Linked DNA regions of Cricetulus griseus. The protein of the gene in region 1 interacts with the protein of each later gene in a biochemical or structural test. Links are inferred from orthologs where the notes say so. Each region holds a gene or a part of one and is shown in the gene's direction. Other genes may lie near its edges.

Evidence for each region.
Region 2: the proteins of Fen1 (region 1) and Hus1 form a complex in vitro, tested with the Homo sapiens proteins (2 studies listed by BioGRID). The link is inferred for Cricetulus griseus from reciprocal best matches to the Homo sapiens genes FEN1 and HUS1.

What each region holds. Positions count from the first base shown.
Region 1 is NC_048596.1:50,247,635-50,252,155, forward strand, and holds the start of Fen1 (flap endonuclease 1), read left to right. Parts: upstream 1-1,621; 5' UTR 1,622-1,928; exon of another isoform or gene 1,929-1,939; intron 1,940-4,521. Other genes in the region: transmembrane protein 258, read right to left, coding at 1,367-1,369. UniProt on the Homo sapiens protein: Structure-specific nuclease with 5'-flap endonuclease and 5'-3' exonuclease activities involved in DNA replication and repair.
Region 2 is NW_023276807.1:96,060,744-96,065,209, forward strand, and holds the start of Hus1 (checkpoint protein HUS1), read left to right. Parts: upstream 1-1,384; 5' UTR 1,385-1,463; coding exon 1,464-1,515; exon of another isoform or gene 1,516-1,565; intron 1,566-1,939; coding exon 1,940-2,067; intron 2,068-2,145; coding exon 2,146-2,322; intron 2,323-3,967; coding exon 3,968-4,078; intron 4,079-4,466. UniProt on the Homo sapiens protein: Component of the 9-1-1 cell-cycle checkpoint response complex that plays a major role in DNA repair. The 9-1-1 complex is recruited to DNA lesion upon damage by the RAD17-replication factor C (RFC) clamp loader complex.

The sequences.
Region 1 (4,521 bases):
GTAGAGCATTTGCATAGCATGAATGAAGTCTTGGGTGTGATCTCCAGCACTGGGAAAAAAACAAAACAAAACAAAACAAAAAAACAACAAAAAAGTATGGAGGCAGCAGCTTTTCTTTTGGTACGATAAGAGCAGCTGAGTCAGAGGCTCAGGCATAGGAAGGGATAGAGATAAATGGCTCCTAGGATTTTCTAGCCAGTGATCACTAAGACAATCATGGATCTGTCTGGAGAAAAAACAAAGAAAAAGCTTGTCCACAATTTCCATTGCTTTTGGACCTGTGTCCAGACTCTAAACCACTAATTTGTGCAGGAAGCTGAAGCCTAGACTAATACGAAGACCTCAAGTTCTAATTCAAGAGCATTCTTAGGAGGGAACCACAGGGATCTCCTGGCAGAAGACAACTGTGATAATTCTGGCTTTACTGAATCACTGGAGTTTGAGTTACGTAGTTATAACAAGTATTGGTTTCACAGGTCTGATGCAGGATTGGAGAAAGATGATAAATGTTGACACATCTAGTTGACTGCCTGCCATGGAGTAACTGCTCAATAGGTATTTGTTTCCTTCCTAAGGTTGTAGAGAAGATTATGAGATAATGCCTGTGAAAGGACTATAAATGCAAAGTTCTGTACAAATGTTAACTTCCATTGTCACTTGCCAGCCAATGCCTCTAAAGTCCAGAACATAACAACTCCAGAGAAGTAAACTGAACCCATTGTTCTAAGAGACACAGGAATTCAATTCAGTAAACAATTATGTCCCCCTTTCCCCCCTATAAAAGCCAAAGACAATTGCTGCCATTTATGGAGCCTCCAATTGCAGGCCCAGTGTTTGGCAACAAGAATACAAAGAAGAATAGACATCACCCCAGAACTAGATGCACGTCAGATGGTGGTCACTAGGAGGCGTGGCAGATAAAAAAGAGGTCCACGAAACGTGGCAAGAGGTGTACAGAGACTGTAAGAGCCCAGAAAACAGACAAGTGCCTGTGAGAGTTGCAAGTGTTTCACCAGGTAATGACATGTATCCAAGGGCCTTGCGGGATGAATTCAGCAAGGGAAACTTTCCAGATAGCGATAACTGATCATAGGAAAGAGAAATAAACGCGCGAAGGTATTCAACGTGCACCCCACGCCCCTCAGCCTTATGATCAACAATATCATAAGCCCATTGTGATGGAAACCTCAGTCTGAGAAATTCTCGGCAAGGGGCTTGCTTTCCCCGTTCCTCAGCTAAACATGGGCTCCAGCAGCGACCCACCCTGGGGACACGGAATGCTGACGACTCCGCGGAAGAACGCGGTGTGGACCGGATACCCAGGAGTCCTGGCCCACAGCCCTGTCCGCAACTCCCACCATCTCACCATTTTGCCCCGCACACGATAAACCACCGGTCCACCACCGGAAGAACACGTCGGCAAGAGCAAGCGCGTTGAGCAACAGGAAGAGGATGTGGTCCCTCGCGCGTGGCATTGTGGGACTTGTAGTCCCGCGGTTTCAGGTGTAACGGTAACTGGGACTCTGAAGACCTATGTGAGTGACATGGGGTTGGAATGTGAGAGGGGGTAGTGCAGAGTCTCTGTTTTAATCCGTTTTCCCCGGAAATAAGGTCCACTATGAAAGCTGCGGTCTGAAGTGGCAGAGACTGCACTATATTTCCCAGGAGGCTGTTCGCGGAGGGCGGGTCACGTGACCGGAGCGCGGGCTTTGGAAGGCGGCGAAGCTGGAAACGACTTCGGCTCTACATCAGAAGAACGCGCTCGAGTCGGTTCTGAGGACTCCGTGGATGCCGGACCACCGCTAGCTGCCGAGGGAGGGTGAGGCCTCGCGGAAGCGGTGCTGAGAGCGACGAGTTACCGCGGGAGCAGCACCAGGCGGCCCCGGCTTTGACCATTCGCGCTGCTGGGAGCCTCCGTCTCTTCACCGGTAGGAAGTAGGTAATAACCTTTCCCCGCGAGGACTACGGCCTTATTTTAGAAACACTAGAAACGACTTGTTCAGTCCGTTTCCTGCCCGGGTCTGCGGGGTACTGCAAGAGGAAGACGACTAACAGGGTATTGCTAGGGGAGTTTGTTAGCTGGCAGTTCGGGGATTCCGAAGCAGAACCTCAGTCCACCCGGAGAGAGCAGAGCCTGTTTCTCCGAGGGCCCTTGTGAGGAGGTTTTGTACCTCTTAGGAAATGGGTCCAAGGTCTGCTGACATCAAGAGACACTGCTTGCGTCCTTTTCTTTCTTTCTTTCTTTCTTTCTTTCTTTCTTTCTTTCTTTCTTTCTTTCTTTTTCTTCCTTCCTCCCCCCCTCTCCTTCCTTCTTCCTCCTCCTCCTCTTCTGTGCTGTTTTTTATTTTTTTATTTTATTTTTTTTTTGGTCCAGGATATTTTTTTAAAAAAATAATTTTATGGTCATTGGTGTTTTGCCTGCATGTATGTCTGTGTGAGGGTGTCAGAAGCCCCGGGACTGGAGTTACAGGTATGAGCTGCCATGTGGGTGCTGGGAATTGAACCCCGGTCCTCTGGAAGAACAGCCAGTTAACCTCTGAGCCATCTCTGCAGCCTCCCGAGACACTGTGCTTTCTGATATTTCTGGCTGAGGGAGGCGTTTTATCCTCCATGCAGCCATTTCATGTAAGGGTTTGCTATCTGGGACATCCTGTGGAGGCGGGACTGAGATGGCATCAAGACAGAACAGTGTATCCTCTGTGACAGGATGGGTGCTGTCTTGTACTCATTCTAGCAAAGCAGTGAGACATGAACCAGAGCACTGGGTGGGCAACACTGGCACACCATCTGGTGATGTGTGCTTTCCACCTGGTGTTGGCCAGTTTTGCAAGGCAGAAATGATTCTTTCACAACTCATACCACAGAGTAAGTGCCTTAATTGTGTTTCACAGAGCTGAAGATGTGGCTCAGTGTAGAGCGCTTGCTGGCGCTAGCATATGTGAGGCCCTAGGTCAGTCCCTGTTGTTATGCACAGGACACATCAAGTGGTTTCATGGGTGGTGGCTGGATTCGAAGCTGGGCTTTTTATTTGATTTCTGGTGCTGGGGATTCAGCCGGGGACTTCAGCCTTGCTAGGCAAAGCTGCTGTACCTGTGAGCTATAATCCTCAGCCCTAAGGCTGGACTTGGCTGCTTGTATTCATAGGGGAACCACAATAATACAGACAGGAAGAAGAGAGGAAGGATGGCAGGAAGAACACACGGCTGATCGAAAGAGGGAGGTGGGACTTTTAATTAGGCTCCCATACTGTACAGGTAGATTTTGATGCTGTTCCTACTGAGGTGTTGGGACTCAGGAAGGGGAGTATAAGTGTCACATAGGCTTCAGAGAAGATACCATGGAGTAAGATTGGGAACAATTAGAACTCCTAGGATAGGGTTTTCTTTCTTCTTTCTTTGGTTTTTGTTTTTTGAGGCAGGGTTTCTCTGTGGCTTTGGAGGCTGTCCTGGAACTAGCTCTTGTAGACCAGGCTTGTCTCGAACTCACAGAGATCCACCTGCCTCTGCCTCCCAAGTGCTGGGATTAAAGGCATGCGCCACCACTGCCCAGCTCGCTTGCTTGCTTGCTTGCCTGCCTGCCTGCCTGCCTGCCTGCCTGCCTGCCTGCCTGCCTGCCTGCCTGCCTGCCTGCCTGCCTTCCTTCCTTCCTTCCTTCCTTCCTTCCTTCCTTCCTTTCTTTTTTTTTCAAGACAGGGTTTCTCTTTATAACAGTCCTGGCTGACTTGGAACTCACTTTGTAGACCAGGCTGGCCTTGAATGCACAGAAATCTGCCTGCCTCTGCCTCCCAAGTGTTGGTATTAAAGGCGTACACTACCACCGGCTGCCTGATAGGATTTTCTTGTGTGGAAACACTATCATTGGGCAAGCAAGATGATGCTAGTAAATTATGTATTAGAAAATCCTTTTTATTATATTTAACACATTAAAATATGACTGATATATGCAGGTTCCCCCCCCCCACACACACACACAGGATTTCTCTGTGTGTACTCCTGGCTGTCTTGGAACTGGCTTTGTAGACCAGATTGGCCTGTAGACCACTGCCTGACACATGCAGTTATTTTTGCTTAAAATGGATTCTCTTTCCAACTTAAGTTTTTGTTTGTTTTTTGAGACATGGTCTCACTGTAACTCTCGCTGGCCTGGAGCTTGCTATATAGATTAGGCTGGCCTGGAACTCAGATCCACTTGTCTCTGCCTTCCAAGTGCTAGGATTAAACAGGCATGCGTCATTGCCCAGCAGTGGTGCACACCTTTAATCCTGGCCCTCGGGAGGCAGATAGACTTATCTCTGTAAACTTGAGGCCAGCCCAGTCTTCAGAGCGTGTTCTAGGGCAGCCAAGGCGGTTACACAGAGAAATCTTGTCTCAAAACAAAAAAATTGTTAAAAGCCAGGTGCACGTCTTTAATCCCAGCACGTGGGAGGTAGAGGCAGGTAGATCTCTGAGTTCAAGGTCAGCCTGGTTTACAGAACTCAGTCCACAAAGAAACCCTCTCTCAACACCCCCACCCCACTTTCCA
Region 2 (4,466 bases), on another chromosome or scaffold:
GTACTGCACTAACAAAAACTTTAAAACCCATGGGCTTTACTGAAGTGTTCTTATTTGACATTCAAAAGATGAGGAGTCCCTTGAACAACTTCTGAAGCAGAAACACAGTCCTTCGATGAGGACGCTTCCCAAACAGACATTCGCTCATGCCAGTATGAGTTTCCACCTCACAGTTTTCTTGTGTAAACAATAAGACAAATACTGACGTCCAAATTTGCTGTAGAACTGCTGAGCAATGTCACTTTCTTTCCCCCTGGGGCAGTTTTTCCAACACTAACTGCTAACAAGCCTGCAAATAAATGAGTCTGTTATCCCCCTGAGATTAGTGAAGATGATCAGGCATGTGACAGACACAACCATCCCAGTTTTGGATAACCGTTAGTAAAGAATGGTGCTTACCTAAATAGCAGCTCTAAAGATTCACTTCCCTGACCTTCAACTGTATATACTGAGTGACATTTTATATGTAATGTATTTCCTTTTCTGAGACAAGATCAGATGGGATGTTTTCTTCCTATAAGTAAACATAGCACCAACATTGCTCTGCAGATCCTCGTGTGACTGGAGGACTGAGCTTTTGAAGGTTTGAACTTTATAAAATCAAAAATCCATTTACTATCTAGATGGAAAATAACAAGCAGGCATTGCATTAGAAAATGCTCTGGCACACAGGGCTTTTGGAACTCTCTTAAGAAAATCATTTGGAAAGAAAATATGGAAATGTTGGTATATTTAATTATCAATTTTGAAATCATTGACTTTGTTTGCTAAATCTATTTAGCTTAATTGCAAGGGTATATAGGATTGGCATTTTCTTCTAAGAAAAGATAGTCATAGCTTATGTATTTGCTAAGCAAAAATTTTATATGATTTAGATTTATCAATAAGGAACATATAATCATCATTATATACACCTGTTCTTAGGAATTTAAAAAATCCTTTTTTCCTTACCTTTCCCTCCCTCCCACTTCTTTCCTTCTTTCATTTTCTTTCTTTATAAAATATATTTGTTGACATATGTCAGTAAGATGCCCAGGCATGTTTCCAACCTGAGATCCTCTTGCCTAAGCACCCTCATTAGCTAGGGCTAACAAGAATTTTATAGGCTCTAATGAGTTTATATTGATACAAAGAAGCAGAATTATCCGTGGTCTTCAGGTATTCTACCAATTAGTGTGTTCATTTTAAAACAATTTTCAAAACTACTACGTTGCCAGGTATCCAAGTGTTTTTCAGGAGGTGACTTCTTGAAGGGAGCCGTTTCCCTGAACCCGGGGTGTGAGTCAGGTCGCCAAGGCTGCGCATGGAGGTCCCTCTCCGCCTTTGGCCTGGGTAGGCGGACCTCTCCTGCTGCACCGACTCAGCGGAACCTCTGTGCGCGCGCCCGCGTTTCCCCGTCGGGACGCTCTGGGAGGGACTATTGTCCGCCTCCGACTGAAACCGCTACGGGCCAGGAAGCAGCCATGAAGTTTCGCGCCAAGATCGTGGACCTGGCTTGTCTGAATCACTTCACACGTGAGCTGGCAGGGCCGCGGGGAGCGAGCGGAGAGTGCGGCCGCAGCCCTGTGAGAGGACAGGAGGGGTGGAGGGCACAGCTGGGGCCGTAGGCTGGGAGGGCGGCCCTAAGGGAAAGGGACCTTTCCCTTTGCAGTCCTCCCTCACTCTTGCTTCAGCCGGCACTGTGCCTAACCTTGCTCGCAGGCAGTTCTGTTCTGCAGTACCCAGATGCCCCCACGTTTATGTGGAATGTTCTCGATCGTCAGTCGTTCTCTGAGACTGTTTCATTATTGAATACTGGTGCTGTGGGTTGTGTGCCTCGCTAGGTGTCAGCGGCATTGTAGTACTAGCGTGATTCATGAGTTAGAAGCTCTGTAAGATGACCTGTAGGATACCGGATATGCAGCTTAGTAACTGCTTGCTTTACCAACCCTCGCTACAGGAGTCAGTAACATGATAGCCAAACTTGCCAAAACATGCACCCTCCGCATCAGCCCGGAGAAGCTGAACTTCATCCTTTCGGACAAGCTGGCCAGTGGTGGGGTGAGCATGTGGTGTGAGCTGGAGCAGGTGAGCAGGAACGCCCAGAGGCCCCAGGCTCCTGCAGGAATGCTGGAAAGGCCCTAAATGCCCGTCTCTGTCCTGCAGGAGAACATTTTTAGTGAGTTTCAAATGGAAGGTGTCTCTGCAGAAAACAATGCGATTTATTTAGAATTAACATCAGAAAACTTATCCAGAGCCTTGAAGACTGCCCAGAACGCCAGAGCCTTGAAAATCAAGCTGACTAACAAACACTTTCCCTGTCTTACTGTGTCTGTAGAACTGGTAAGTAGAAGGAAAAGGATTTCTGAACTTTCTTTTACAGGTGCCTTATTTATATTTAGGTCTAGGAAGTATAAGTAGCTATAAGCCTGAGCTCTCAAACAGTATTCTTGGAAGGGAATTAGTTTCATTTGAAATATAAGATCTAGTCCAGCTTGGTGGCAAATGTTTTAATTCCAACACTCAGGAAGCAGAGACAGGAAGATCTCTATGCCTATGACTTCTAGGACTACATAGATACACTGTCTCAAAATAAAATATAAGATCTGGCTCATGACTTACAATGAGAAATGTACCTTATCCTAGTCATTTTTAAACAAAGTCTTGATTGCACAATGTTCAACAGGATACTTCTTTTTCCAAACAAACTGCTAGCTAGAAGCTCTTTCAGGGTGTTGTCACCTTGTCTAGATGTTTTTATCCATTTTCATCTTAAAATTTTCCCCTCCTGTCTCATCATCTGTAATATTCTTAAATAACATGTTTAAGAATGTTGTTTCATGTTGGCGACCTAACATGTTCATAGCCTTTCACATATCTTGAAGGCAAATCATAAATTACTCCCCTCTGAGTTGTTCTCTGAATGTGTCTTTTTTTTCCCCAACCCCCAGACTGGTGACATCAATTGGACTATCTACATGGAGTTTCTCTCCAAAACTTTTCCTTTCTTTAGTGCTCTGCCCCACTGGGCTTCCATTTTCTTTACAACTTTCCTTTCTTATATGTGCTTTGCACATCTTGTGGGTAAGTATTGCTTTTGTTTTCAAGCTAGCTATAGAAGTTAATTCATGACCTCATAACTTTTTATGTGTTCTTAAAGCTAATTAGAGCATTCCATGTAATTATAAGTTTATCTAGTTTCTTAAGGAAAAGCATACAATATTTTTCTAAGTAAGAAAGCAAAATACTTTGGTTTCTTTTTTGTTGTTGTTTTTTGGAACAGGGTCTCAATATGTAGCTCTGTGATTGTCGTAGAATTGACTATGTAGACCAGACTGGCCTCAGACTTACAGAGATCTACTTGCCTCTGCCTCTTGAGTGCTGTGTGTGCCACTATACCTGGCAATACTTTGGTTTCTGAGCTTTAGAGATGCTTTGAGAAATAAACATGGTCTATCCTTTTAGTTCGTCAGAAGCTGCAGCATGCTGAGCGTGTGACACACAATGGTGTCTAGGTTGCTTTGGCCCATCAGATTTGCCCCTTTCTGTCTCCTGGGTTTATGAACACTGATACTGTCCCTCTGCCTGAAATCCTGTCTCCTCTTCTTCAGCTTCTCAGAGGCCGCCTGCCTCTCTAGTTTTGATGTCCTCTGAAGCATCACCTTCACTCCCCTCTGGCAGCTGTCCTTCATTTAGCCTCATTATGCGCTTCCTTCAGGCTCTGACGGAGTATCTGGTACAGCTTCGTGCACTTGCTTTCTAGTTGCTCCATTTGTTCCACTGAGGCCCTCTTGTCTCATTCTCTACACTTCTCAGAGACTCACAGGACCCAAAGCAGAACAGATACACCACACCAACAATTTCGGTTGAATAGAATTTGAGAGAATACATAAAGAACATTCCTTTTGGAATTCGAAAGGTTTAGAATTGGCTCTCACGTTTTGCTTTTAGCATTGACAACATAAATGATTATAACTTTTTTTCTTAGCAGTTGTCCTCATCAAGCAGTAGTAGAATTGTGACACATGATATTCCCATAAAGGTCATTCCTAGAAGATTGTGGAAGGACTTACAAGAACCATCTGTCCCAGACTCTGACGTAAGTGTTGTCTGTAGTCCTGTTGTTCAACACACAATTAAGGGCAGGGATTGAATTCTACAGTGCTAAGTGTCATCTTGCAGTGTACTGTATTTGAAGTTGTGTAGTTTCTGAAAAGAAAGTGATTCAATTAACAGGACTCCAGATATGAGTATGTGCCTTTTGCTATATATGTGAATTCTGTTAAAGAACTCATACCCATTTAGAAATGCCATACTTTCCATGCAGGAGTTCAAATGCCTTGCTCAGTGAACCTAAGCTATACTTTGGAAGACAGTCTGTATTTACCATGACTCTTGACCTTAGGCACAAACTCATGTTTCAGAGGCCTTGATGAAAGAGCCAGAAAATGCATTTTTGTTGACTTGAAGCTTAGGTTAGCTGTGAC